Linked DNA regions of Ovis aries. The protein of the gene in region 3 purifies or fractionates together with the protein of the main gene of each other region. This does not show direct contact. Links are inferred from orthologs where the notes say so. Each region holds a gene or a part of one and is shown on either strand. Other genes may lie near its edges.

Region 1 (9,670 bases), on a different chromosome or scaffold from region 3:
CGCGGCGGCCGCTGGGACGGGCCGAGCGGCGGGTGCGGGGGGGGAAGGTAATTGGGGCTGGGGGGTCTGTCGAGGGGGTGGCGCGGGGTGATGACGCGAAGGCTTTGTACCTGGGGCTTCAGTGGTGCGGGACGGAAATTGGGAGTGGAGGGCGGTGGCCTAGACCGTCAGCTCCTCGCAGTCCTTGCGGCGGGGCTTGGAGTCAATCGGGCTCCAGTCAGTGGTTATCAGCAGCCTTCGCGCTGGCTCTCTGCCAGGGAAGAGAGTTATCTATGACTTGAATGTGTCTGTACTGTCCTCGCGTTTCGTTGGGAACCCGCTGTTCGGAGTTGGCTACCTCCAGTAACGAGAAGGCCTCTGGTGCCTCTTCAGGTCTTCTGGAAGTGTAGTAGAGAGCGAGGTGGAGGAAAGCAATGTTCAACGACAGGGCCTTTCCAAATTGTGTGTGTGTGTCTGTGTGTGTGTAGCCGAGTGAAGAGGGTTATAAAGGGAGTAGCCCTTCGATCTTTGGTTTCTGTTCTTAGAGCACGCGAGGTTACATTTGTGACTGTAGAGTTATAAGAAGAGGTCACAACTCGTTTTTACACTTGTCTGTTACACGGTTTTTTCAAACTTGTGTGAAAAGCGAAAGAGGATCCGGAATTTCCCCGCTTAAGAACCAAAATGTTGGTCTGTACTGTTACCATGAAACCTGTGTTTGTAAGAAACGTGACGTGTGTTTGGTAACCAGGGAAAATGCTCGGATTTTTAGGAAATTAGAGTTTGAAATGCAGAGACTCTATCGCTTCCCTTCTTTCTCCCATCAGCAGTTACAGACATTGAAACAGTTTCTGTGGCTATTCTTTATTGCTCAGAAAGAACTTCTTAAAAGAAAAAAATTATTTACTTTTGGCCCCTCCCATCTGACCTAAATAAATTCTGGTAAATTTTGTAGTTAAATCAGACTTTGAATGTTCAGTTAGGAATAAAAGCAAGTACTAATACTGCCTTTGCCCTAGTAACATCTGATCTTGTTACGTCTTTCAGTATGTCACTTTTCATGTTTACCTGAAAAGGGATGTCTTTATAAAGTTTTATTCAGAGAGTGAGTTGAATTCAGAGCAATTTTTTATTAATGGGAAGTTTTTAAAAATGATTAGTGTGTATGCAGAAAACACTTTTTACCTAACATTAGAACCAGGAAACCTGTGTTGTCCTTTTCCTCCTACTGATTAGTGGTGTGACTTTAGACAAGTCACATCCTAAACTTTGATTTTCTCATAAATCAAGGACCTCAAATAAATATCTCTTAGGTTTCTATCAACTCAATCATTCTGTGATTCAGATTCCTGGTATAACTGATTCTTATTTTGACAGGTACACAAATAAAGGATAAAGCATTTACGAAACAAATCTTCAATCAAGTATAACATTTTGATGCTTGGCAGCTAGACTCCTTGTGCCCTCACTATGCCAGCAGCAACTGTAGATCATAGCCAAAGAATTTGTGAAGTTTGGGCTTGCAACCTGGATGAAGAAATGAAGAAAATTCGTCAAGTTATCCGAAAATATAATTACGTTGCTATGGTATGCCTGTGAGCAAAATCTTTAAAATGCCTTTTATGAAAGAGGATTTTAAAACATCTTGAATTCAACCCTTCTGGTTGATTTTTTTTCTAGGTATTTAATGAAAATAATTTTGTCAATGACCTCCCAACTAAAGACCACCAAGAACACACTAGTAATGTGACAAGTTGGGTTTCTTACTCATTGCATTGAGGGAAAATTCATTCTTAGAACCATGGGGTTATTTGCGTAAGCGAGCGAGCGTTAGAAAGACCTAGGAATTGGGGTGTGTGGCAGTGGTTTTAGGAAGGGAGTGAAGAAGTGGGGCTCTGCTCTGAACTGTTGGGAAGCTGGGGTAATTCCACGATAGGATATCTTAATGAGTCTCAACTAGAATGAGAGAAGACTAGAGTGAGGCTAAAGCTGTAAAGAAGCAACAGTCACTTGTTATTTAAGATAGAAGAAGGTTTGATCATTTTTATGGTTTGGACAATGTGTTTTTGCATATGTTCAGTTATGATTACAGACTGGCCTTGTCTGATGTTATGGTGTGCAATTGTTTATATTCAGCAGAAGACCCATTAGGACCTAGCTGTGAATGCCAGGTCTGCTCCTAGCAACACTAAGACCTGATACTAATACCAGATGGAGCTCCTAGATGTCTTTCTCAAACAAAAAAATTCAGATCTTCCGTTGAAGCATTGTTGATCTGTAGTTTTTTGTTTGTTTTTTAATTACCAGTGGAATTCCGTGAACATACTGTGTTGTTAAACATTTCTAGTTTTGTATATACTGTTCACTCTGCCTAGCCTGTCTACTCAATTAATTTTTTTGCTTCTTGAGCACTGTCTGTTTTGACTTCTCTACAGTATTCTAGATTACTAGTTTTGAGAAGAAAGAGCTTAGTATCTTAATCATCCTTTCTCCCCCCAACACTTAGCATAATACATAGCATCCAATAAAGTGGTTGTTGAGTTTCTGAATTTAGAAAAGTTTCCATTTCTCTCCTTTATAAGAATTGAAATTTTGGTTTTGTTCTTAGTTTCTTAATTTGAATTTTACTACTAAAATGATATGTTTATTTTCTTAGCATATTTAATATAAATAAATATGCTGCTTTGGGGAGGGGCAGGTTGGTTGGTTAAAATATGAATATTTGAATGTACACAGATAATGTCCTATTTAATAGATGTATTTTCTTATCCATAATTAGAATGAAGTTATTTTTTATGGTAGAAATTAATAGTGATCATTTATTTCTCAAATGAAAGCAGTGACAACTTTAGATATGTGATAGCTTTCTACAAGAATGAGTGGTGGCATGCTGTCTTTAAGGGTATGTTTTCTCTGGAGTGTAGAGAGTACTGTTTTAGGCCAAAAAAGTAGGAGGGTTTTGGTATTTATCTAAATACTTACTTCAGAAAAGCAATTAAAAAGTATGGTACATTTTCTAGTCTTTTTAACCGTCTTCATTGGTTTTAATATTACAATACTACGAGCATAGTTTCACATACTTGTTGAAAAACATGAATTTGTAATTTTCTTCCTCCTTCCTCAGGAATAGAGTACTTAGTTACATTTATTATGTGTACATTATACATGGTAATTTTTTCCTGATATGATATTTAAAGTAAGACGAAGTCATTAAGTTTGTGGTTTTATGGTTTTAAAAAGTAATACTCTTCCTAGTTAAAAGGTACATTGTAATTGAACATGAATTGTGTAGAATATCACCCCTAACAGGATTCTTCAATGTGTACTCAAAATTAATTATTCTAGGAATTTTGGGATTGTGGTTTCAACCATTTAGTAAGTAATGACCCTTAAAACTATTTTACAGGACACCGAGTTTCCAGGCGTGGTTGCAAGACCCATTGGAGAATTCAGGAGCAATGCTGACTATCAGTACCAACTGTTGCGGTGTAATGTAGACTTGTTGAAGATAATTCAGCTAGGACTGACATTTATGAATGAGCAAGGAGAATACCCACCAGGAACTTCAACTTGGCAGTTTAACTTTAAATTTAATTTGACGTAAGTAGGAAATAAATTTAACCCAAACTTGTTTTTTTTAGTTTAATTTTAGAAATCAATTTCCATCAGGTACAACAAATGAAATTTGGTATCGCTACCCTGGAAATATTTAAAACCTAAAATTTCAAAACTTTGTTTCTTCTTTTTATTATGGGACAAAAAAAAAAAACAGGATAAAGAAGACTTAAATGCTGAAACTTTTGAGTTTTAGAGCTGTTATTTTAAAAGCATAACTGCCACTATTTTGAAATTTGGAAAACTGGGTTTTGAAAATATTTCTTGATAGAAAAAGGATAACTTTACAACATTAATTTTTCTTTCAAACTTTGTGTGCAATTTGAAATATATATGTCTTTGTTGTAAAAGTTATCCTTCTCATGAAGAGATTCTTATCATGGTTATAGTCCATTGTGTGAATAGAAGGCTCATCAGAGGTGATAATAAGATCATTCCTAGAAACTTGGGTGCATTTTCCTTTCAAATCAGTTATTGCGTCAGCCCAGCCCACAGAACCTCTTACAGGTTACATATGGGAGAAGTATTTAGTATCCTCGAGCCTGGTGTTTCTTTTAGGAAACAATTTGGAATCTGAATTCTAACTCAAGTCCTGGGTCACAACCCAGTTTCTTTACTTACAGTACTTCTGTATAATTGGTAAGAGTAGTCTTGATAGCTTAGGGAAGTTTCCAGTGTTTTTGGGTGAGGGCAGATTGTTTACAAACTGACTGTAAGATGGGGATATGCTGAATACATTCTGAGTATGATACTATTCTGCAGTATCCTTCTGTTTGACAGTCTCTGCTTGTTTCATATGATCTTACATCCAATTTGCAAAATAGTAAATGAAGCTGTAGGACAATTAATGGTGGTAGTGGTGGTGGTGGTCAGTCCCTTAAGTCTTGTTCAGCTCATTGTGACCCCACGGACTATAGCCCACCAGGCTCCTCTATCTGTGAAAGTAGGCAAGAATACTGGAGTGGGTAGCCATTCACTTCTCCAGGGATTTCTTCCTGATCCAGGGATCAAACCCAGGTTTCCTGTATTGCAAGTGAATTCTTTATCATCTGAGCCACTAGAGAAGCCCCAGTTGATGGTAGTGCCATTTAAGGACCTCTGTTCTCTGTAGTGTGATACTTAGCATATGTAAGATCTAAAAACAAGCAGGGGTGATGAGCTTAGAGGAGTGTTATCAGTGGTGTAATAGTATGGCTTCTAATTGCATTATGTTTAGCCTGACTCTGTTTTCACTCTGTTGGATTTAATAATATACTCTCCAGAACTTTGTCAAGGGTGAAAGGTACTTATCTCTATTTAGACTGATTAAACGTTTTATAAGTTCTTTAATTCTGAAAATTCCCTTTTATCTTTTTCCTGAAAGGTAACCCTTTTTAAAATCGGTTCTCTACCATTTCATTTGCTCTATATTGCTTTTTTCCCAAGCTGATCATCAGATCCTTGTTCTGTACTAAGGTAGTGCTATGATCTCAGTATGTGAGTAGTAGGTGACCTATCAGGGTCTCAGTTTTGGTAAAATAGACATTTTTCCTTTCTAGAAACATCTTTGGTCTTATAACAACTGCTTTGTTAGTGTATTTTCTGAAAGACGTTTTTTTTTCTCGTACATTTTTTCTCATACAGCAAAACTCATGCTGTAGTTTTATTGCCATTCATCCTAATGTTAATATCTTGAGAGATCTTTAAGGATATAGTGAAAAATATCATTTAGTAGAAAGGGTCAGTTGGAAAATAAAACCGGTTCTACCTAATGTGGAGAAAGAGCACCATGAATCTTGGATATTTTGAAGAAAGGTAAAAATTGACTTTTATCGAGTTCCTAGAATGGATGTGTCAGCAGCAGTGCTAGGTCCCAGGGACATAATGTTGAGGAAAGTTGGTCATGGTCATTATAACTCTTCTGTCTGCTTTCTGTTGCTGAACTCCAAGAATTAGAACTGTTAGGTACTGATCAGTGTTTGGGAATTTGCTCTAAAGTGAATTTGGACTTGATACATACATGAAAAGTAAAGTAGAATATGATATTTGATCATGAAACACCAGAGTACTCACCCAGGTCTCTCTCCTGGAGATGGCAATACAGTATGTCCAGCTGTGGCACTTGTGAATCCATATTATTGACAAGTTAATCTGAGTGATTATTATCATTGGGCAAGTTTGGGAAATACTGATTTAAATAGTGCAGTACTCCCTGGTAATATAACATTGAACAAAACAGACAAAAATCATTGCCCTCTTCAAGCTTAAATTGTGATTAAGAGAGAGCGCGTAAAAGTAAAGTGAGCATATGGCCCAGAATAATGTGAGCCTGGAGAAGGAGTCTCTTATGCCTTTGGTTGGTTATAGTTGCTAGAGCATGTCTCTTAGTGAGCATCTGGGCATGATGAGTGAGATTCTACTTGTTTAAAGTACATGTTTTAGTATAACAAGGAAGTAATATCTGTTGTGTAATTGAAAAAACTTGTATTGGGTTTATTCAGATATCCTTTTGAAAGAGTTTTCTGGCATAATTTTCCAGGGAATTTTGACTTAAGATTAATTGTTGCAATTCCTGTTTTTAAATATTTCATTTGCTAGTTTTATTACTTTTCAAAGGCAATATTCCTTTTGGCTTAGTTTTATTAAAGCTTTTATAGAACTTTCTTTTGCTAAGTGGTAGAAATCAGTATTCTCACAATTTTCAAAGTAAATAGAAACATCCAGTGGGCACTGCATGAAATACTTTCCATTCTCAGAAACATACCTTTATTTTGATCACTTTTTTGATTTAATATAGTATTTTGGATACCTGTGTGCTTGTGCTTGGATATTAAAGATGGTTTTCTTTTTGGCTTAAGTAAAATCTTGAAAGATTGGTTTATATTTAGATTTCCTGGCTTGATTTTTGAGAAGTAATCTTCTAGGAGTAAGGCTGTTAGAAGGAGAAATTAATGCTGCTCCAGCAGAGTCTTTGATTTTAAACAGCTTACTGCTGATTGGAACTGTTTGAGAGGCTCATGGTAGTGAGAGGATGCAACTCCTCCTTCTTTAAGACAGACTGTGGTTTAACGCTGGCACAGCAGGAGTTTTCCCTTCAATCTCTCTCCCTTCTCTCTGCTGAGAACCTGGGAGATAGACACAGGCTTCACCACTGTGGCTGCAGCTCTGTTGGGCAGCATTAAAATGGCTGCTGAGACTGAAAGCCCGGATAAGAACATGTCTGTTACTCTGTGGTGGTAGCTACGGTGAGTAGAAGACCGTTTTTCTTTGTTTGAACCCAGTTAAATTTACTTAATTTGTGAAAGGCTAATGAGATGGATAGTAAAGATTAAAATCTCACCATTGGACTGTTTCAAATGATAATTTGCTGTATAATTTTTCTTCTAAAATTAAGTTGACCTTTGTATTTCAGTCACATTTACCTTCCGTATATATGAAATGTTGGAACAAATGGACTCAGGCCCATTCTCTCTTGATATTTCTGGCACTGTAGTTGTAGATGTCAGTGGGAGAAACATAGTTTGAAATATGGCACTTTTGAATGTTGTCTTTCTTTTTCTCCTGCCAGGGAGGACATGTATGCCCAAGACTCTATAGAGCTGCTCACAACATCTGGTATCCAGTTTAAAAAACATGAGGAGGAAGGAATTGAGACCCAGTACTTTGCAGAACTTCTTATGACATCAGGAGTAGTCCTCTGTGAAGGGGTCAAATGGTTATCATTTCATAGGTAAAAGACTGCATTGCAAATGGTATTTGTGTTACCATTTTCTAGCTGCTTCACACTTGACTTGGGTCATGGTGTCAGCATTTCAGGCTTAGTTCAGCAGAGAATTGGCTGCCATATAGCTCAACAGGCTAATGTGGTCTCCTTAAAGGTTCATTTAACGATGTGGGATCCATTTCAGACTAAGGGAGACAGTATTGCATAGTGGAAAGAGTGGAGGCTGAAAAAACAGACGTTGGTTTAAGTCCAGCAACGCCATTTGGAATCTGTGTTATTACATAGGTTTATTTATTTAATAAATAGAGTTAACATTTTTAAGCCTTAGAATGAAAACATTTATCCATCAAAAAAACAGTTGTTATCTACCGTATGTCAAGCAGTTTGATAAGATTCTAGGAATTAAGTTATAAAATAGGCTATAATCTCTGATTTTATTGTTTATATCTTGATATTCCTTATGGTTTTCAATGTTAAAGCTTTTTTTCCCCTCTTTTTAAAGTAAGAAGTAAAACTCTAAACACTGAATAGAAATTTTATATGTACTGTCACTTTAAAAGGTATGTTAAATAGCCTTTCTCATCAAATATTTAAGTCCCAACTATGTGTCTTAAGGGGAAAAAAATGTCAAGATGTGACACCTGCCCTTTAAAGAAGTGGAGAAAACAGTACATGTGCTTTAAATGGTGGTACAGAAAGCAGCTTGTCTGAAAAATCTGTGGGAGTGGGGCTCTTGGGGGAAGGCATCCTGTGCGAGATCTTAAGGAAAGATTGACAGGAAAGAGAAGGGATGTGATTGTGGGATGGAGTGCAGGGAGGTATAAAGCTGTGGAAAAGCCAGACAGTAGGGACAGGATCTTGATTTGAGTATGTGGGAGTTGGCTTTTTGTTCTCTAGATACTAGTTCTCAGCCTTTACTTGCTTCACTTCTTTCATGTACAACATTCCCACTAGTATCTCTGAGGGATTGAGATAGGAACAAAATTTTGAGGGAAGAGAGTATTTCTTTATAAAATTACTTAAGTGAAAATAATTTGGTAGGGAATTACTGTTTGGGTTTTTGAAATGTATGATTGTATTATATAAATGATGGGAAGACAGACATTATTTTGTCTTCTGAGTGCCAGTTTTTCTGCTGTCTTTGACATTTTTGCCAAGTCTCCTTTCATCTCTATTTTTTGAGACATCTGCTGTGGACAGTTTGATTTTAGAGAGTTCTCTGTTGAAGGATCTGCTAAATAGTAGTTCAGTGACTACAGTCCTAGGATAGTTGTAGAGATTTGTATACTAACATTCCTGATAGATGATATGACAGGTTCTTATCACTGTCTGTGAATGATGGCATTTCCTCATTATAACTGTAAATGTGTTTATTTTCTCTGTTCTTTTGTGCATTTTTTCTGGTTCCTTTCTTTTTCCTCTCCCGTTTATGGTGTGACTCGCTTAAAAGTTGTATTGAAAAAAAATGTTTTTTTCACTTCTATGGTTTTTATGGTCCCTCTTCTGTATTCTTTAACCCTTTCATAGTGGTTATGACTTTGGCTACTTAATCAAAATCCTGACCAACTCTAACTTGCCTGAAGAAGAACTTGACTTCTTTGAGATCCTTCGATTGTTTTTTCCTGTCATTTATGATGTGAAGTACCTCATGAAGAGCTGCAAAAATCTCAAAGTAAGTCTTTAAATGGTTTTATTTGTAATCAACACGCTATTCAGAGCGGGTAACTGACTTAAAAGATGCTGGGTTGGATGTTGATTTAAATCTTATTTTTAAGTTTTATATTAAATGCACATTATCTGATTATACATTGTCATCTGATTCCTTTTTTGCATAAAAAATAGTTTATAAGAAATCCTTATTCAAGGCTTCATTATATATTTGCAGAATAAGCTTTAGCAAGATTCAAACCAAAGATCATATTCTTGTCATTCTCTTGCCACGTTGAACATGAGCTAGCACAGAATCTGAGAGTCTGACACAGAAATGCAACTTCTCCCTGTCTCCCAACACATAATCTTCCCATGTAGGAGGAAGTCTCGGGACCAGCAGTGTGCAGCTAGAGTCAGTCATGTAGCAAAAAGAGTTTCCCCTTCAGCTTATATTGGTGAGAGGTTATATTCTCAGGTTTAGTCATAGGGTCATGTTCCTATAAAGGGATTTTTTTCTTTTCTTTTTTTTTTCCTCCTCACTACCAACCCATGGACATCATCTTGTTAGTAGTAAATGCTGGTAATTGGGTATATCCTATCTAAACAGCAGCTTACATTCTGATGCTTATTACCATGTGTGTAATGATTTGTTACTTCTAAGCATTAATTCTTTCCAAAAGAAAGTGTCTTTATCAGGAAAAGTGCTCTTAGTTTTAGAGTGAA
Region 2 (9,670 bases), on a different chromosome or scaffold from region 3:
TTCTGGATTCATCCAGAAATTGCGTCAGTTTGCTGATCAATTAATTGTTTTGAGCATGGAGTGGATCTGATTCTGCTCAAAATCGTATTCCCTCTGTACATACATACCCAAGGAGGAGCCTTCCACTGACATGATACTCAGTACTTATGAAAGTTGGTTGATCTCCAATCCACATCTCTCTTGGGCCTTAAATTAATGTCCCTTGTTTAGAAAATAAGGATGCTTTTTAGGAGAATTGCCTTGCATAATTAGCCATGTTTCTGGTTCCCTCCATAAAGGGAGAATCCAATATTTTTGGCCTCCCTGTGTGGTGTGGTGTGGCATGCTTGAAGAAGTCAGGTGTTACTCAGAGAGTTTTCCCTACCCTGGGCTCAGTCATGTTATACCTCTCTCCAGCTTCATACCTTGATCATGACCTTGGGTTTCTTTCACTTACATGTTCTTCTTTGATTATACCACTTAGGTAATGGGGGCATTTGACTAGGAATTAAGCATGCACATAGGAGGAGCAGTCAGATTCTTTGAAAGATCCTTCACCATCCTTCCTGAGAGGCCAAGTGATAGTCAAAACAAGGTCCCCATGCGTTATAATTGCCCCCAAAGTATAAAAGGACAGTGTCACATTTCCAGTTCTAATCTGCTAACATGCCTCATCCTGTCCTTAGTATTTTTAACTCCTTCCTCTCCACTAAATTGATATAATTATTTAATGTAATTTTTAAATTGAAGTATGATATACATACAAAGATCTTTTGTGGTCAATTCAGTGAATTCTCAGTGTCACAGCAGGGGTACCTAGTTCTGATAGTAAAACATTACCACAATCCCAGGCTACTGATTACTACAACTTCCTAACAGTGATAACCACTGTTCTTTTGGCTTCTAACACCATAGATTGGTTTTGACTGTCTTTGAACTTCATATGGATGGAGTCATATATCATGTACCTTTTTACATGTCTGTCTTCTTTCACTCAACATTATGTTTGTTAGATTTGTCCGTGTTTGTTTAATTGTAGTTTGTTACAGTTTTTCCGTTATATGATTTTAACACAATTTACATGTATTTATCCATTCTACTGTTAATGGACATAATTGGGTTGTTTTAGGCTTTTACTGTTATAAATAATGCTTCAGTGAACATTCTTGTACATGTCCTTTGAATATATGTGCCCATTTCTATTGGGTGTGTAACTAGGAGGGCTTTTAAGTGTACAGACGTATACTTCCATCAGCAGCAAAATGAGAGTTCTAGTCATCTACATCCTTATCAGACTTGGTATTGTCATTTTCATCTTAGCCACTTATACGGGTGTTTGTTAATACTGCATTGTGCTTTTTAATTTGATTTCTCTGGTGATTGATAAGGTTGAGTATCTTTTTATATTTTTATTGGCTGTTTCATTGGCCTCTTGACAGGTGCCTGCTCATGTCTTTCTCTTTTTTTATTGGCTTAGATGTTCTTTATAATTCCTTTATTAAATATGATGTGTACTACACATATCTGTAGCTTGCCTTTTTACTTTCTTAATGGGTTCTTTTGTTGAACAGAACTTTAGAATTTTAATGTAGTCCTGTCTATCAGTATTTTTCCTTTATGGCTAGTACTTTCTGAGTCCTGTTTAAGAAATCCTAAGGTCACGAAGATACTAGTCTGTGTTTTCTTTTAAATGTTTTTTTTAACCTTTCACATTTAGAACTAGCTTGTGTTTGCCAGAAATGGCTGTTGCTTTCTCTGTCTCTTGGCAGTGGTTCCTCTTTTGGTGCAAAGCCTAGAATCTCAGCCTCTTGCCCACATCTAGAATCAGCAAATGTACCCAGGGCAGAGCAGCTGCAGCAGATGGCTCACCTCTGTGAGATTCTCTTCCTCTCTGGAGTGTTAGCTCTTGCAGTTCTTTTGTCTTAGCACCTCTCTACTGCCTTCAGAAAGATGAGTTATGAATTGTATTTGGTTTTCTTGAATGTTCTCAACAGACACTGGTTTCCTTCTAACCATATCTCTTGGAGATAGAAATGATCCCTTAGCTTTTTAAACAGTCTCAAATTTCTCCCATTGAAAATATATCGTACTGTTTATTGACCCCATGTTTCCTCCATGGTATTTGATATTACCAAAAACAGTTATTGCCTCTGTTCATTAATTTTTGCCTTGCTGTCACAAAATTCTGGTCCTCGTTTTACCTCTTAGCAGCATTTGACTTGGTTGAACACTTACTCCTTCCTGAAATGCTCTTTCTTCCCTGGCATTCATGCTGCAACCCTGTCTTGATCTTCCTCCTAGATATCTGGATTTTTGTCCTTTGCAGATTCATCTTCTTCCTGTTCTACAAGTATTGTGAGCTCCTCAAGAATTGAGTTTAAGCGCTCTCCTCTCACTCCATTCACTTCCTTGTTGATCTCAAGAGCATGTCTTCAATTACTACCTGTACCTAAATATGTCATATTTTACATCTCCATTTCAGACTATTCTTGAACTTCCAATTGCTGTACTCAGTTGCCTGATTGATATCCTCAATGGGATGACCAAAAAGCTCTTCAAACTCAAAACGTTTCAAAAAGAACTTAAGATCTGTCTATTCTATTACAAAAGTCTAGAAACTCATAAGTTATCCATAAAATTATTTTCCCTTACATAGCCTCTTGAATCTGCTTCTCTCCATCCTGACAACTGCCTTCTTGAACTACCCTCATGTCTTTCCTAGGTTGTTCTGATCACCACTTTCTTTCTCTCACACGGCAGTTCCCTTGCTCTCCTTTATATCTGGTTTGCCCTTTGAGCTTCTTCAGTTCGTGGCTCTGTCCCCTATCAGTGCGTTTTGCCTGCTCTTCCCTTGGCCTGGAATGCTCTCTTCCACATTCTCTCTCCCTTGTAAGTTCTTTTCTACCTTTAAATTTCAGTTCAGTGAAGAATCCTTTCCTGGCTAGGTTATTACACTATATCATATGCTCTCTGTGTCATAGCTCTGTGAAGTTTCCTGTTGTAGCATTTATCATTGTTACGCTTTTTATGATTTTTAAAATTAGTCACTAGATAGTAAGCACTATAAGAGTAGGGACCCTATGTGTTTCTGATCACCATTGTGTTCCCTAGCACCTCCTATACTTCCTGGAATCAAGTAGACATTCAGTAAAAATTTGCTGAATGCACTAATCAATTCTCTCCCTGATCATAGCTGAAGTGAAACGTGTTGGAGATACTCTGTTGGGAATGGCTACACAGTGTGTGCAAGTGAAGAACGTGGTCAAGACCTCGCCTCAGACTCTGTCTAACCTTTGCCTGAAGATCAATGTCAAACTTGGTGGCATTAACAACATCCTAGTCCCACACCAGCGGTATGAATGCTATTGCTTACTTGCCCTTGTCAAGCAAGGTAATATACTGGAGATTGATGAAAAGATAGGACACTGTCCAGGCAGAGTGAGTCACAAGGGAGAGGGGACCAAAGTGGGAGCTAGATGGTGCCAGGAAAAGAAGACCCAACTCCTCACCCTTTGTTTTCTCTTCCTTGTTTAGCTCTGCAGTCTTTCAACAACCAGTGATATTCCTGGGAGCAGATGTTACACACCCACCAGCAGGGGATGGGAAAAAACCTTCCATCACAGCAGTGAGTGATACTTTCCAACTTGCTCGTAAGGTTCTCTTCTGAGCCCCCAAGACTACACCTGATTTCCTTCCCTCAACTCTGGTGCTTGACCCGTCACAAGATCTTTTTATTGCAGCTGATCATCCCCATTAACCAGGCCCTTGGTTTTCTAATAAAGCTAACTGTATGACATCTTCTTTTCAGAGAGAGCAGTGAGAGAGTAGAGTGGGGCCAGAGACTTGGTTATGTCTCCATCACTTTTGTTCTGTGTTTGAATTTCCCTCTGTCTCCCTGTGCCCACTTTTGGGATGTGGGAAGGACCATATCTCCTCTCCGAAGTCGCTTTTAAGTGAATTCCTTAGTTACTGGGATTGTCTTTTACTCTTTCCTATCTGTACCCTGACTCATCTAGTAGATTAGATGGCTCTCTAATCCCTCTCCTGACAGCTCTGCTCTGTCTCACAGGGCTTCTCAGTTGACTGATGGGACCAGGCCTTCTTTCTCATTTCTTTTTCTTGAACCTTCATGTTTCTCTAGGCAGACTGGGCCTATCTCAGTAAATGTGGGGAAACCCTATACTATGCTTATCTTTATTTTCCTTGTGGCCATCCATCCTAGTCTCTGGCCTCTGTCCCCGTAGAGAATAATGTTGTTCCTACCATCCACAAGAGCACTGTTCACTGTAGTTCCTGGGGTAGATTAGCACTTGAAGAAAAGATTAGCTTGTTTTTCGGATGAAGTCACTCTTTGAGCTCACAGTGCTGAACCATCACATGCCCCTCTGTAAGGGGTGGGAAAATCAAAGTTAGCAAGTACCTACTGTGAGTGAGGTCCTGTGCGTGGTGACTTACATGTGCCACAGCAGTACTGCAGGCAGGTGTTACTCTTTTTGCCATTTGAGAAGAGGAACAAGAAGATCAGGTGGGTTAAATCACTTCCGTGTGTGTGAGAGAACAGAGATTGAAACCAGGGCTATTGAATCCAAAAAACCTACATGTTTGATTTCTTAGGTTGGTTTTTTTTTTATTCCCTCTAAGAGATCTTTCCCCAAACCCAGAACCACCAGTGTTGGGAGGGTGGAGGTTTTAGGAGCTGATCCTGCCTCTTTGATTATCAGGTGGTAGGCAGCATGGATGCCCACCCCAGCCGTTACTGTGCTACTGTGCGAGTGCAGAGACCACGGCAGGAGATCATTGAAGACTTATCCTACATGGTACGTGAGCTGCTCATCCAGTTCTACAAGTCCACACGCTTCAAGCCTACCCGCATCATCTTCTACCGAGATGGGGTTCCTGAAGGCCAGCTTCCCCAGGTAGGGCCCACAATAAGTCAAGAAAACCTTCACATTGAGGCCGTAGGGCCTAATGGTAGCAGAGAGAGTACTGCTCCCTTTCTTAAGCTGTTGACACTGGGAGGTGCTTCTACTTACGGAGGTTTGCTAAATGGAATTGGCTTGGGAGCAGAGATTCCAACTGAGAGATGGTGTGTAGAGTCATTGATAGACCTTCCTTCTTGTAATAAAAGACTCTCAGTGCCTATTTACTAGTTAATTCATGGTGAAGACTGATTCTTTAGACCAGTGGTTCTCCAGCTTTGGGCTTTCCTGATGGCTCAGCTAGTAAAGAATCCACCTGCAATGCGGGAGACCTGGGTTTGATCCCTGGGTTGGGAAGATCCCCTGAAGAAGGGAATGGCTACCCACTCCAGTATTCTGGGCCGGAGAATTCCATGGACTGTATAGTCCATGGTGTTGCACAGAGTTGGACACAGCTGAGCGACTTTCACTTCACTGTCCAGCTTTAGCATCCATCAGAATCTTTTGAAGGGCTTACTAAAGCAGTTTGCAGAGCTCCACTCTTAAAATTTCTGCTTCATTGAATCTAGGATGGGGTATTAAAATTTGTAGCTCTGATAGGTTCTTAGTGATCGTGCTGATCTGGTGGCCACACTGCTATTGACCTTTACAGTGTTCTTAACATTCTGTCTCCCTGCTAAGCCTTCATAGCTTATTGTTTAGACTAGTATCTTCAACTGATCTCCTTTTCGACCATTTAATAATAAGTAGTATAACTACCATTTACTGGGTATCTTACGTGCCATGAACTGTGCTAACCGCTTTGTATGTGCTCTATTCAGTGCTTATAAGAATCCTATGAAGTAATTATTATTCCACCTGAGAGATGATGAAACTGAGGCTTGAAAATGTTAAATGATTTCTTCAGTGTCATCCAAGCTAATAAGCAGTGAAGCTAGGATTCAGACAAGTTGTTCAGATTCCAGAGTTCATGCTCTTAACTATTATGCTCAATTTCCTCTGAGTCATACAATGTTTCCTAAAGTACCAGGTAAATTTATAACATGTATCTGTTCAGAGATGTCCTGTGGCTTCATGTAGCCTAGGGTTAAAATTCAAAGTGCTTATGCAAAGCAGTCAGCAGTCATTAAGCCCCTGTTAGGTTTTTTATGCTTCCACTTAATTATTTGTTTTAGTCTTCACAGACAGTTTTGTGAGGATGATCTTATTAGTAACTAGAAAATGAGACTTTATTAAAGGGGTTAAGTAACTTGCTCAAAGTAATAAAATTAGATAAAGCTTGGGGTTTAAAAACTTAGTTCTGATTGATTCTAAATTCTATTTACTTCTACCAGATAGTTTTTACTCCCTATATCTGACATCCAAGGCAACAAGGCAGCTACTGCCTGTGCTTTTTCACCTGTGGCTTCTTTAGCTAGTCTGTTTTCTTATGATACTGCTTTTTTTATAGAACTGAATTTATCTACTCCCTCTACAGCCATTCCTGAACTCTGTGTCTACTCTTTGGTGGTGGTCCCAACCCTGTCTGCTCCCATGGGGAAACGCCCATTTTCCTCCTGATCCTAAAATTGTCCTTACTCTGGACATGGTGATTTTTCTGTGAACCTTGATTCTGTGTCTTGATGTTAGGTCTCACTATGCGTAGGAACCAGGTGAGTGCTCTCTGCGGATACTAAGCCCCGCAGCTAGGTTTTATAGGAACAGAGCAGGTGAACTGTCTACAGGCACACCTCGTCTTACTGCGCTTCGCTTTATTGTGCTTCACGGATACTGTATTTTTCACAAATTGAAGGTTTGTGGCAACCCTGCGGCCAGCAGGTCTGTCGGCACCATTTTTCCAAGAGCATTTGCTTACTTCATGTCTCTGTGTTACACTTTGGTAATTCTTGCAATGTTTCAGACTTTTCATTATTATATTTGTTATGGTGATCTGTGGTCAGTGATCTTTGATGTTACTGCTGTGACTCACTGAAGGCTCAGGTCATGGTTAGTATTTTTTAGCCATAAAGTATTTTTAAAATTAAGGTATGTACATTGTTTTCATTTTTTTTTAAGACATAATGCTCCTGCACACTTAATACACTACAGTGTAGTATAAACATAACTTTTGTATGCATTGGGAAACAGAAAATTTGTGTGACTGACTTTATTGTAGTGGTCTGGAATTGAACATGCAATATTTCTGAGGTATGCTTCTGTAAGGCTGATTTTTGGTAGGAAGGGCTTATCCTCTCTGATGGTTGGGTGTCAGCTTATAAAGGGAGGCTGAACAAAAAGCTGTATAACAAGTGGCAAACCCTTAGTTCAGAAAGATGAATGAACTCAAGAGGAGCTGTATGTCTCTTTGTCTCCCTCCTCACCCTGTGCCTAGATCCTCCACTATGAGCTGCTGGCCATTCGCGATGCCTGCATCAAACTGGAAAAGGACTACCAGCCCGGAATCACTTATATTGTGGTGCAGAAACGCCATCACACCCGCCTTTTTTGTGCTGACAAGAATGAGCGAGTGAGTGAGGGATTGAGGAAGTCACTGTTCCCTGGTCATGTCTCCCTTCTCTGAGTATGAAAGGAGCTGTGGAAATGAAATCTGGGGGTTACTCCTTGGCCTGTCCATCGCCCCTGGCACCTTTCTTCCCCCTGACTCTTGGGGTCCTTCCTCTGCTGCTTCCTTTCCTTTGTTTCCCCCTCTCCCCTCCTTCCCTTCTTCCCTTAAACTTGATCTCCCTCCTCCTAGCTCCCTGGCCTATAGACCCCATATATAGACCAGCTCCCAGAGATGGGAAAGGGAACTTCCATTTATTGAACTTCTATGTGCCAGACACTGTGCAAGGCGTCTTCCTCACAGCAGCCCTGTGAGGTAGGTACTGTTATTATCTCCAGTTTAACCTCAGAAAGGTTAAATAACTTGCTAAGATCACACAGCTAATAAATGGTGAAAGCAGCACTTAAACACAGGTCTGTGTAACTTTAGAAGCCTGTTATTTCAGCGCCCAGTACTCTCTCTGGGAACAGCAACTTCTGCCTTACTTTTGGGATTCTGATGGAGTCAGGTTAGAATTGAGTTGAGGCCCTAGTTAGGGCCAGGCAGGTCTTGGGATCTTGGTTGTCTTTGTTTCTATACAGATTGGGAAGAGTGGTAACATCCCAGCTGGGACCACTGTGGACACCAACATCACCCACCCATTTGAGTTTGACTTCTATCTGTGCAGCCACGCAGGCATCCAGGTAGCTGGGCTATGTCCTGGGGTATCCAGTGGGTCAAAGATAATTGATCATTCCCATTGCCTTTAGAATATATCATTCATTACTGAGGGGCATTCAAATCAGGATTGTTCTCTTAATAAGCCCTTTGTGCACTTGAACGTAAGTGTACTTTCAACATCTTAGTCAGGTTGCTCATACAGTGGGTGCTTTATGACAGAGGTGGCTTTGTGTCTGCCTTTTCATGGGTGGGCCTTCCAACCCAGCCATACTCATAATGGTGATCCTATTCCTTACTGTCAGCCATCCCGTCTGCTCAACCTGGGGCCCCTCACCTTCCTATCTTCCCAGGGCACCAGCCGACCATCCCATTACTATGTCCTTTGGGATGACAACCGTTTCACAGCGGATGAGCTCCAGATCTTGACGTACCAGCTGTGCCACACTTATGTACGATGCACACGCTCCGTCTCAATTCCAGCACCTGCCTACTATGCCCGCTTGGTGGCTTTCCGGGCACGATACCACCTAGTGGACAAAGAGCATGACAGGTGAGGCCTGGAATCAGGCTGGCTTCCTTTTTGCTTCAGCCTCTGGTACCAGACCCTCTCAACTTTCCGTGGGTAGAAGGAAACGAGGATTGTCCAATTTGGTGTCCTGGGGCTTGTCAGCCCAAATCTGGGTTGGGGTTTTCTCTTAATTGGTATGGGAACTGGTACCCTAGGGGTGGGGGAAGGGTTAGTGGCAGCTCAGTTCACCAGGAAGGACTTCTTTCATTTTTCCTTTTCAGTGGAGAGGGGAGCCACATATCGGGGCAGAGCAATGGGCGGGACCCCCAGGCCCTGGCCAAAGCCGTGCAGGTTCACCAGGATACTCTGCGCACCATGTACTTCGCTTGAAGGCAGAACGCTGTTACCTCACTGGATAGAAGAAAGCTTTCCAAGCCCCAAGAGCTGTGCCGCCCAAATCCAGAGGAAGCAGGGAGGAGGGAGGTGGGGTAGGGAGGAATGCAGAAGGCCCTGTTTCCTTCCGCAGAGGGGGCAAAAGGGTGGGGAACAGGGCCAGTAAGCCAGACCACCAGCCAGAAATCTCTGATATTCACCTCATGCCCTCAACCCCTCACCCCATCTTGTCCCATCTGGCCCTGAACCCACTGGACCAAGAGAGGCAGCAGCGGTGCCCACCATACACACAGTGTCCCATGTGACTCACAGTGCTAAAGACTCATGCCTGACAGCTTGGTAAGGTCAGCTCTGCAGCCCTGCGGACAAAAGCTGGTAGGTTTGGGTTTGATACTTTAGATGGAAGAGTGAGGGGCTTGAGAAAGTGGGTGGGAGGAGGGAAGGATTTTTTAGGAGCCTTAATCAGAAAAGGTCTAGATTTGTTTAAGAAGAAAAACGAAATCAGATGCAGATCAATATTTTAGGATACTAGATGTTTTAATGGGTTGAGAATCCAGCCTGTAGGAAGATTTTTAATGCTAATGATTTTGGTTGCCCCTCCCCCAGCTGCCACTCCCCTTTCCCTTATTCCTCTTTCTCCACTTTTTCTACCCCACCTTACACCTGACA
Region 3 (11,386 bases):
AAATGTTTTAGTTATGATCGCTGAGGAGTCCTGCACTTCTCACCCCACTCCCCCTGCCCCGCCCCGCCCTCCCCTGCCCCACACACACAGATTTTTCTGTCTAAGCTGAAGTGTTTTTCATAACAAAAAGTGGTCTTTGTGACCTATCGTTGGTAAATGCAGTTTTTTGAGGTAGCCTCTTAATTTATGTTTTTGGGAAAGTATCAAGTATGTTCCAGATTAAAAATAGAGTTTTAGCTAATAATTACTGATGGCATCTCTTATTTTCCTAAAATACATGGGCATACACAGCAAAAGGCAGGTATGGACCATAATCTCCTCCAAAACTAGGTCATGGCCAGCCAGATTGTGAGAAAGTTTCACTACCATTAAAGATTGGTTTGCAAAGTGTATTCTGCTGTTTTCTGGGGCATTTTGCTTTTGATGTATTCAGACATTAAAAAAAAAAGAAAAAAAACCTTACCTTTCTTGTAAATAGCCAAGTTTTTTTTTTTTTTTAATGGTTTCTTTGCTTTTATGTATACGAAATTCTCATCACAAATTCATGGTTTCATCTTTAACACTTGAATCATTTGGATTTACTTTTGATAGATCATCTCATTTAGGAAATCTTTAAAAGTATTGAATATTCCTTTTCTTTGGGTGATTTAAAATACTAACATTTGGCATATAACCTTAGATAATATACGTGGGTCCATTTCTGGATTAATTTTTCTGTTCTTACATACTCTGATAGGACGGTGCTGTTTAACTAGTGCATGATAAAAGTGGATTATGGATTTTATTTATATGTCTTATGTGAATTTTTATATCTCTTTAATCAAATTACTGACTCTTGTTAGTAAATTTTTATAATTAAACTCAGAAGGAATGTTGTTATATCTTCCTGTTGAGGAGCAAGTTTATATTTAATCAGGTTATCTGCTATGACCTACAATAAAATTTAATCGAATATTTTTGTTAACTTTATTTCAAAGGTTCCTTAATACTTTTTGTGGTTCCTATAATTTGGATCCTTTTCCATCCCATTTTCTTGTTGGTTATTTTTGGTGCATAGGAAAACTGGCTTTTTACATGTTAACCCTTTTTGTTCCTTTTCTACTATCTTGACCTCGTTTGGGGGGTCATATTTCATCAGTTTGTGCTTCTAGCACAAAGTTGAGTAGTTGTGCTGATAACAGATTCCTGTCTTTTCCCTGTTGTTAGGGGAATGCTGATTATGTTTCACTGTTAAATCCCAGGTCCACTCCTTTGTTTTCAATTTGGGTAGTTTTGTCTGTCTTTCTCAGTCTTGTTTTCTTATTCCTGCTGGGAAGTGGCAAGACACACGCACGCAAATAATAGATCAGAAGTACTTTTGCTACAGACCATGGCTTGACTGTTTTAGATTTGGAGAAAAGTGGAAGGTTTGGGACTTGCTGATGTTCTGGATTTGCTATTCACAGGAAAGAATCAAGGGTGAATCTTAGGTTTTAGAAAACTTACCAAGATGAAGAAAACTGGAAAAGAAGCAGGCTTGCTTTTTCCTTGGAGAGGAGGTGCCTGTGGAGGTATAATCTAGGAGTTAACAACCTTTTTGAGATATCTAAGTAGAGATTTAAAGTAAGCACGTTGGTGTATGGTTTCTAACTTTGCTCTTTATGAGAGAGGTATGGTAGAATGAATAACTTTGCAGATAGGACTGAAAATGATAATCATTGATACACATTAATTAGTGAAAAACTAATGGCCCTCATTTGTATCTGAATCAGATACAGTTCAAAGCAATTTTAGTTAGCAATCATTTAATCCTTGCAACTCTGTGAGGTAACTACTATTACTATTCCCACTTTATAGATGAAGAGTCCAAGGCACAGGAAGATTTGAGGGTCTTACCTGTAGTCACACAGATGGTAGATAACAGAGTGACTTTTAAACCCAAGCAGGCTGGCTTCGAGAGTTTTACTCTGCATCACTGCACCAAACTGCCCTTCATAGAGCACTTATTTGAAGCCAGCAGTGAGCTGCATACTTTACGTATGAAACTAGGTTAACTAACAACCAGGTAAAGAAGTCCGTATGTGCTGTGTATATTCCCATCTTACTAGTTTGGTCATACAGCTGCTACACAGACCTCAGTCTGGGTATCTCTAGAGTCCCAGCTATGTTCTGAGCCACCTTGCTTTTTTACTTTAGGATGAATTCTGATTTTCTCACCTTATTTTCTACAGCCCTTGAGCCTCCATTTCTTCATCTGTAAAGGGAAGGTAATGCCTACTCTAGGGCTGTTTCAAGGATTCAGTGACAGTATTCCACATAGAGCTTGTGCTCCAGCATGCTGAATGATATTGCCAGCAGTGCAGGCACTGTTTGTTAGTGAGACTGATGTTTTTGTGTCCTTTATTTCCTGAGAAAAATCCTCCTCGTGGGCACTGAAAGATGAAAGGCTTTCCTTGGAAGCTTCGAACTGCCAAGTAATTTTTAGTTAGAGAGTGGAAGTCAGAAGCACTTAGAGAACTTCTAAGAAAATATATATATTTAATGAGTTATGTATACGTTTTTGGTCTCTGTTTAATCCCCCCCCCCCTTGTTTTTTGCTACTTGTTCTAGCTCTTCACCTTTTGCTGCTTAGCAATTATGCTTTGAGAAATAATGATGCATGTTGAATCTGATTTTCCATATCAGCAATACCCTCGTGGGCTTTTCTGGTTCCTCAGACAGTAAAGAATCCCCCTGCAATGCAAAAGGCCTGGATTCGTCCCGTGGGTTGGAAAGATCCCCTGGAGAAGGGAACGACTACCCACTCCAGTATTTTGGCCTGGAGAAGTCCATGACAAAGGAATCTGGCAAGGTTACAGTCCATGGGGTTGCAAAGAGTCGGAGACAACTGAGTGACTTTCATTTCACTATACCCTCACAATGAGTGATATTTTACTTTCTGGGCTTATAGCACCTAGTGTTTGGTTCATTATATCTAGGACATGACTTAAGCATATGTATTACTTACAAACACTAAATATGATGCTGATGACTACTGTAGTAAAGAACTACAATATGAACAACCCCCTGAGGACAGTCTAAATGCCCACATCTTATCTCTGAAGATTCCTAACTTAACCAGATTTTTAAACTGAATGAGAGTGATGCATTTGGGACAATTTTATAAGCAATAAAATAACTAGATGATAATACATACCAATAAGTCTGAAGTTTATAGGATTATATGACTAGTCATTAATGTCTTCAATGTCAGCAGTTGAATTTTTAATCATAACTTTGATCTTTAGCATATCAACTGTTTTTTGTTGTCTTCTAATAAACATGACTCTTAACACATTTTTATGAAGGCAGTATTTCTACTTGTGTGCTGTATTTTTCAGATTGAATTTGAACACTAATGAAATGCAAATATAATGGAAAAGGCTTTATAATTCTTACAAACTTGTTATAATACCCAAAACAGTTGTGTGAAATAGCTATTCTAAAAACATGTGGATAAAAAAGGATTCCTAATATATTTCTAGTACATTTCACCAAGTTTGGCCTGTCCACTTGTCATTTCCCATTTGCATCCCAGCCCCTTTCTTTCTGAGGTTGGGCCTCCAAGCCTAGGTTGCTCCATCGTCCTAATAAATCATTTCTACCTTGTTCTTCCTGACTCCAAATTCTTTATTTGCTGATATGTTCATTCATTCATTCACATATATATTGAGGAGCTATTATGTTCCAGGTACTACTCTGTGCTCTTGGAATAACATAATGAACCAAGCAACAAATTTCCTGCCTATGTGGAATTAATTATTGAATACGGAAAGTTCGTGGCTGGGATATAACCAGTGCCCTTGTAATTATATTGCCAAGCGTTATATTTTGTTGAGGAGCCATACACATTTATAATATATTCATCATTTTTCCAAACACTTGATTTTTTTTGTGTTTCTTCTTTATTCTAGATATAAACCACAATACTCCAGGATCCCATTATGAAAATTCAGAGCGGGGACCTGTGTCGTCTACAAGTGACTCTAGTACAAACTGTAAGAATGCTGTTGTGAACGACTCCCCTGAGAAAGAAGCATGGCCCTCAGCCCCTGGCAGTGATCCGGAGTTGGTTTCAGAATGTATGGATGCTGATTCTGCCTCCAGTTCTGAATCAGAGCGACCCATCACTATCATGGCTTCAGGGAGCACAGGTGGTGAAAATGATGGCCTTCGGAATAGCGCTGGACTTGGATCCCAGAACAAGTTTGTGGTTGGTAGCAGCAGCAATAATGTGGGCCACGGAAATAGCACTGGGCCGTGGGGCTTTTCCCATGGAGCCATAATAAGCACATGTCAGGCCTCTGTGGATGCTCCTGAAAGCAAATCGGAAAGTAGCAACAATAGGATGAATGCTTGGGGCACTGTAAGTTCTTCATCAAATGGAGGGTTAAATCCAAGCACTTTGAATTCAGCTAGCAACCATGGTGCCTGGCCAGTATTAGAGAACAACGGACTTGCCCTAAAAGGGCCTGTAGGGAGTGGTAGTTCTGGCATCAATATTCAGTGCAGTCCCTTAGGCCAGATGCCTAACAATCAGAGTATTAACTCTAAAGTGGGTGGTGCTTCCACCCATGGTACCTGGGGAAGCCTTCAGGAAACTTGTGAATCTGAAGTAAGTGGTACACAGAAGGTTTCATTCAGTGGTCAACCTCAAAATATTGCCGCTGAAATGACTGGACCAAATAACACTACTAACTTTATGACCTCTAGTTTACCAAACTCCGGTTCAGTACAGAATAATGAACTGCCTAGTAATACAGGGGCCTGGCGTGTGAGCACAATGAATCATCCTCAGATACAGGCTCCCTCGGTTGTAAACGGCACTTCCCTTTCTCACCTTAGCAATGGAGAGTCAAAAAGTGGAGGCTCTTACGGTACTACATGGGGTGCCTATGGTTCTAATTACTCTGGAGACAAATGTTCAAGCCCTAATGGCCAAGCTAATGGTGACACTGTGAATGCAACTCTAATGCAGCCTGGCATAAACGGGCCTGTGGGCACTAACTTTCAAGTTAACACAAATAAAGGAGGCGGCGTGTGGGAGTCCGGAGCAGTGAATTCCCAGAGTGCATCCTGGGGAAATGGTGCAAATTCTGGAGGAAGTCGAAGAGGATGGGGAGCTCCTGCACAGAACACTGGCACTAATATACCCAGCGTGGAATGGAACAAACTGCCTAGCAATCAGCATTCCAGTGACAGTGCGGATGGCAACGGTAAGAAGTTTACAAACGGATGGAAGTCTACTGAGGAAGAGGATCAGGGTTCTGCCGCATCTCAGACGAATGAGCAAAACAGCGTGTGGGCCAAAACGGGAGGTACAGTGGAGAGTGAAGGTAGTACAGAAAGCACTGGACGCCTCGAGGAGAAGGTGACTGGGGAAAATCAGAGCAGAGAGAGAAGAAAAGTGGACCAGCACACGTTACTCCAAAGCATTGTGAACAGAACTGACTTAGACCCCCGTGTCCTGTCCAACTCTGGCTGGGGACAGACTCCTATTAAGCAGAATACTGCCTGGGATACTGAAACATCACCTAGAGGGGAGAGAAAGACTGACAATGGGACAGAGGCCTGGGGAAGCTCTGCAACACAGACTTTTAACTCAGGGGCATGTGTAGATAAGACTAGCCCTAGTAGTAATGATACCTCATCTGTATCGGGGTGGGGAGATCCCAAACCTGCTCTGAGGTGGGGAGATTCCAAAGGCTCAAGCTGCCAGGGGGGATGGGAAGATGACTCTGCTGCTACAGGAATGGTCAAGAGCAATCAGTGGGGGAACTGCAAAGAAGAGAAGTCCGCATGGAATGATTCGCAAAAGAACAAACAGGGATGGGGTGATGGACAAAAGTCAAACCAAGGGTGGTCCGTCTCTGCCAGTGATAACTGGGGAGAAACTTCAAGGAGTAACCATTGGGGAGAGGCTAACAAGAAGTCTAGCTCAGGAGGTAGTGACAGTGATAGGTCTGTTTCTGGTTGGAATGAACTCGGTAAAACCAGTTCTTTTACATGGGGAAATAACATTAATCCAAATAATTCATCAGGCTGGGACGAATCTTCTAAACCGAATCCTTCCCAGGGATGGGGAGACCCTCCAAAGTCTAATCAGTCTCTAGGTTGGGGAGATTCATCAAAGCCGGTCAGTTCTCCAGACTGGAACAAGCAACAAGACATTGTCGGATCTTGGGGCATCCCGCCGGCGACAGGCAAACCTCCTGGTACAGGCTGGCTGGGAGGACCTATGCCAGCCCCAGCGAAAGAGGAAGAACCCACGGGCTGGGAGGAGCCATCCCCAGAATCCATACGTCGCAAAATGGAGATTGACGATGGGACTTCAGCTTGGGGAGATCCCAGCAAATACAACTACAAAAATGTGAACATGTGGAACAAAAACGTCCCAAATGGCAGCAGCCGCTCAGACCAGCAAGCACAGGTACACCAGTTGCTACCGTCTGCAGGTACCATCTCAAACAAAGAGGCAAGCGGTGGCTCCGGTAAGTTCTCGTTTTCTGCAGTCTTGATTATTTCTCATAGTGCTTCATAGTCGCAGGAGCCTTGTTTCAATTTACTGATTTTGGATGTGCACACAAACCAATTTTTTTTTTAAACTCTAATCCAGGAGAAGTTTGTAGGGAAGAAGATTATGGGGAAGGTGTTACTGTCAGGAAACGGCTCTGCCTTTGGTAGTATTGGCTGTGAATCCCACGTACTCCATTCTCTATCCAGAAAGTTATAGACGGCAGGATTGGAAAAGGGACGTCAAGTGGGAATACTGTGCACTTTCCTCATCTCACTTTTTCTGACTTGAGCCGTTAACATTTTGGTTTTATTGTTTGACTATCCCCAGAAATAAAACAAGTACCTAAAAGTACAGTCCTCTAAAAATCTAGATACTGTAATTGGCCATAGAAGGGATTTATTTAAGTAGGCATGTTGAATACAGCGTGTATGCGTGTGACAGTGACATTTTCACTAGTTGTCATTGAGATGTGCTGTCTTTTTAATGGAGGTTTCGTTGAATAATAATCCTGTTGGATGTAGAGACAGAAGTGTTTTCATGAACTAACATTTCAGTGCCTAATTCTTTTTTCTGAGTATTATTAATTTAGATTTAATTCTAAGAAGAAATGTGTGTGTATCTAAGGGGAAGGCTGTTGTGGTTCTTTTAAAACAATGTATTTATGGCTTAGCTTAGCCTTAGTTGATTACGGTTGGCTTTGGACAGCCTAATAAATTTTAAGAAGCGTTGTCCAGCATATACAAGTAGGATGCCTACCTATCATTAGTCTTATATTAAACTACATTTTCCAGAACAGTGATGTTGAAAGGTTGTAGTTATAATAAAAGTTTTATGCACATTCTGTTAGCCAGCTTGATCACCTGCTTGACTAGGTTTGACTCAGAATGACTTGGCTTTTATAGGAATTAAATTCATCCTCAAAGGAGGATGACTTACCATAATTAAGGTTATTCAAAAGAATCTGCTGTGCACCTTGAGGGCAATTCTGAAAGAAGAGGTGAAAAAAAATTATAGTTGGATTATAATAATGGAAAATTATTTGTCGTCTTTACCTAAAACAGAGGCCATCCTTTTTGCCCATCACAGCATCATTATTTAATACACAAATGTGAAGGTCTTCTTTTGTTCCCTAAGTATTCCTTATTACCCCTTCAACCTGCTGATGACTTCTTTTCCCACACTTTCTAAAGGCTGGGGTGAGCCCTGGGGGGAGACTTCAACTCCAGCCACAACTGTGGATAATGGTACTTCAGCCTGGGGTAAACCCGTAGACAGTGGGCCTAGCTGGGGCGAACCCATTGCTGCGGCATCCAGCACATCCACGTGGGGCTCCAGCTCTGTTGGTCCACAAACATTAAGCAAATCTGGTAAGTTACTGATAATTCCTGGTTTCCGTTGGATAGCAGTGGTGATCTCATTGACTGTAATTAAGTAATTGGATAACGTTTATGACGTTGATAATGTATCCACATATTATTGTAATTGTCAAGCAACTTTCATGCTATCCAACACAAGAGACTGAGTATAATAGTCTTGGGGACACATATCCAAGTGGTCTGGCTCAGGTACCAGACAGGTCCCTAAATACTGTACAGATAATGAGCAGAGTTCAGGAAGGACCCTCAATATTCAGACAGACATTGTTACTATTCTTGTAGGGATTCCAAAGACCAAGTATAGTGATGAGATACTTTTTGCTTCTGACCTGCATGCTGCACTTTTGGGCCATTCTCTTTAAAAATATGTATTAAGATGAATTTTTAAAAATTCCATTCATCCTCGTGGCCCTAAGCAAATAAACGAACATGAATGCCACCAATGTCCCATGTTTAGGAACCCTCTGATTTGTAAAAGCATGAGAAGTGTTCTATTGAAAATGTTACTAAAAATAAATTCTTGTTTAGCTTTTAGCTCAGTATTTAACATACATTTTTGCCATGCAAACCTGGGAAGGGAAATGAAAGAGGGTCTCTAGGTTGTCCCCCGCTCTGCCCCGTTAATGAGTGCTCATCCTCCGGAAAGAATTGTTTGACTGTAGCATGTTTCTTTTTGTCACAAATCCACAATCAGGGCCAAAATCTATGCAAGACGGCTGGTGTGGTGATGATATGCCCTTGCCTGGAAATCGCCCCACTGGCTGGGAAGAGGAAGAAGATGTAGAGATTGGAATGTGGAATAGTAATTCATCTCAAGAGCTTAATTCATCTTTAAATTGGCCACCATATACAAAGAAAATGTCTTCGAAGGTAAACATTTCAAGGGCAAAGCCCTTGAAACTTTAAATTCCAAAGGTAGTTGCCCCACAGAAGATTACGTGCTTGCCTGCCCACTTATGGCAGTCAGTATAGTCCAGGCAGTCCCCAGCTTAGGTAGAGCTTCCTGTGTGGGCGGCCACCTAGAGAGACCTAGGACCACGGGAAGGTCCTTTCTCCCCACGGCTACAGCTTGGCATCTCTCGCCTCCTCCCCCTCCACCAGTGCTACCTGGGACAACCTCACCCCAGGATGGTGCCTGCAGTGGGGAGGATGAAGAGAAGGGCAGACCTCCATGCTGACGCCTCCTGTCCCACTGCCAGTCCATCTCCCATTCCACCGCCTCACCTGGAGCCCCGAGCCTCCGCGTTACCCAGAGTTTCCGTGCTCGTTATTCATCCCCCATCTTCGTCCCTTCTCTACTCAGTAAGGTCCTGGGACTGAAATCTCTAGGAATGAGTAGAGCACTTGGTTTTGCTTTTATATGTAGACAAACCTTATTCCAGACCTGGCTCTGCATCAGAATTGTAAGGCCTTTGTTAAAAGTGTAATTTCCTATACCCTAGGCCTACTGTTGATTTGGAAATTGAGCCAAGTTTCTTGTTCTCAACAAGCTCGCCAAGTGTTTCTGATACAGAGCCAAGTTTGAGAAGACTAGTGTCAGATTTTCTTGGGGCTCATTTTCAAAATATGTGCTTAGTCCCCCCAGGTGATTCTGATACATCCTTTCCAACCTGTTTGAGAATGAATTCTTTTTGAGGGACCTCAGAAGTCAGATACCAGTAGCCCATGGCCAGGGTCCCTCCCTTTTGAGCCTGGGGCTCTAAGTCTAGGACCTGTCATTTTCATTTTGAAGACTTTTCATTGGGCTGCAATTGCCTGTTGCCTCACCGTATAGCGTATGAATCATTTTCCCGTATTTTACATAAATCATTTGATCCTCATAACCTTCTGAGATAGAATACTGATAAGGAGTTTGAAACTGGAAAAGGTGGTGGCTTGCCCCAAGTTGCATAACTAGTGACAGAGCAAGGATTTAAGTGTAGGTCTTCCAGTTCCAAACCCTGTGTTCTTCCCACTGGACCATGCTGTTTTATGACTTTGTCTTTCCTTACAGGGTCTGAGTGGCAAAAAAAGGAGAAGGGAAAGGGTGTGTAGCCTTTTTACTCTTTCTCCTTTGTTTCTACTAGTAAAAATCTTTTAGAAAGCAACTGCAAATATTTATTTAGCCTCTGCTGTGTGCCAGGTACTGTGCTTAGTGCTGGGGGTTCAAAAACACTAGGATAAGTGCATACTTCCGGGAGCTCAGGGTTTCGTATGGGGGTGTGAGGAGTGCTCTAAGGAGTGTTAGCTTGAGTTTCGAAGATGCCTGGGAGTGGGATGTGTTAGGAAAAGTGGTAGCCTGAAATACAGACTGTTGGGGGGAAGAGGTGACAGTCTACTCCACAGTTAGATTAGGGGCAGATACTAAAGTGTTTTCAGTAGCATGCCAGATAATTTGAACTTTATTTAGCATAATGTATGGAGCCAATCAAACTGAATAAAAGGCAGCATCAGTTTGGTTTTTAAAATTGGAAGAAAGACCAAAGTTAATGATCTCATTTAGGAAACTTCTGCATTCATTCAGGTTAGAAAGGACGGCCTGAATTGGGAAGCAGAAATAAATATTTAGTAGAAGGGACTGATTTGAGAGACATTTGGGATTAAAGAGACAGATTTTAGCAACCAGTTAAGTATGGGGTGGGAGTAAAAGAGGAAAAGGAATCAAAGTCAACTTCAGAAACCTTGGAAAGGGTTAGATGCTTGCTTCAGAGACCTGCTTTCAAGGGGAAATTACGAAGCTGTGTTCTGTTCCACAGTCAGAAGGAACAGGTAGTAGCAACGGGCTAGGGAAATTATGGCAGCAAACTGAGAATGGTTCTGTGATCGTTTATGGGCGGCCTTGGTCTCTGTGGCTTCCAGCCTCCCTGTCTACCAGGCTGCTAATCGTGGGCCGTTTGTTCTCTCGGCTCATGTTTCCAAGTGGTTTCCGTACCTTATACCCCAACCAGCCACGGAAAGCCAACACCAAGTAGGAAGGATCCCAGCTTTAGTTGCTGCTGGGGATATTGTGTTCTTGGCAACAGAAATTGGAATTTTAAAATACTCTTTCTTATGGAAACATATGGTGTTTTTTCAGTACAGTGCACATAGCATAATTAAATTATGGTTTTAATTGGTTTCTTTGGACTAACCTGAGAGCCTAGTGACTATTTTTACTTTGCTTTGGTGTGAGAATTCTACAAATCCAAATTATAATTAATTTTTTAGAACACAGTCCACTTGTGTATTGGAAACTGTCTGATGAACAGTTCTCCATTATCCAGAGGACCTGTTTACTTTCTGTGGGTCATCAAGGCCCTTTGCTTCTGTCTTTTCCTTCTGACTGCTTGCCCTTAGAGATTTCTCTGTGCATTACAGCTATACCAGAGGACTGGAGCAAAGGAAGTTGAAAATCAAATAAGTTGATTTTTAATTATTAACAACTCTGTGAGAAGAGTTGGTTGGAGGAGAAATTATTGGCTAAAAATGAGAGTTGGGAGTTGTCTTGAAATTTAAT

Evidence for each region. Proteins that work in one complex are often made in the same cells at the same time.
Region 1: the proteins of TNRC6A (region 3) and CNOT7 purify together in Homo sapiens (affinity purification with western blotting; 3 studies listed by BioGRID and IntAct, with this or other methods). This does not show direct contact. The link is inferred for Ovis aries from reciprocal best matches to the Homo sapiens genes TNRC6A and CNOT7.
Region 2: the proteins of TNRC6A (region 3) and protein argonaute-1 purify together in Homo sapiens (affinity purification with mass spectrometry; 10 studies listed by BioGRID and IntAct, with this or other methods). This does not show direct contact. The link is inferred for Ovis aries from reciprocal best matches to the Homo sapiens genes TNRC6A and AGO1.

The regions. Positions count from the first base shown.
Region 1 is NC_056079.1:19,173,823-19,183,492, forward strand, and holds part of CNOT7 (CCR4-NOT transcription complex subunit 7), read left to right. Parts: exon of another isoform or gene 1-47; intron 48-1,356; 5' UTR 1,357-1,449; coding exon 1,450-1,566; intron 1,567-3,385; coding exon 3,386-3,579; intron 3,580-7,141; coding exon 7,142-7,303; intron 7,304-8,824; coding exon 8,825-8,969; intron 8,970-9,670. UniProt on the Homo sapiens protein: Has 3'-5' poly(A) exoribonuclease activity for synthetic poly(A) RNA substrate. Its function seems to be partially redundant with that of CNOT8.
Region 2 is NC_056054.1:10,844,970-10,854,639, forward strand, and holds part of protein argonaute-1, read left to right. Parts: intron 1-3,172; coding exon 3,173-3,332; intron 3,333-3,513; coding exon 3,514-3,604; intron 3,605-4,700; coding exon 4,701-4,895; intron 4,896-7,269; coding exon 7,270-7,404; intron 7,405-8,021; coding exon 8,022-8,123; intron 8,124-8,450; coding exon 8,451-8,650; intron 8,651-8,889; coding exon 8,890-8,998; 3' UTR 8,999-9,670.
Region 3 is NC_056077.1:22,981,457-22,992,842, forward strand, and holds part of TNRC6A (trinucleotide repeat-containing gene 6A protein), read left to right. Parts: intron 1-3,932; coding exon 3,933-6,509; intron 6,510-7,725; coding exon 7,726-7,902; intron 7,903-8,605; coding exon 8,606-8,781; intron 8,782-9,904; coding exon 9,905-9,937; intron 9,938-11,386.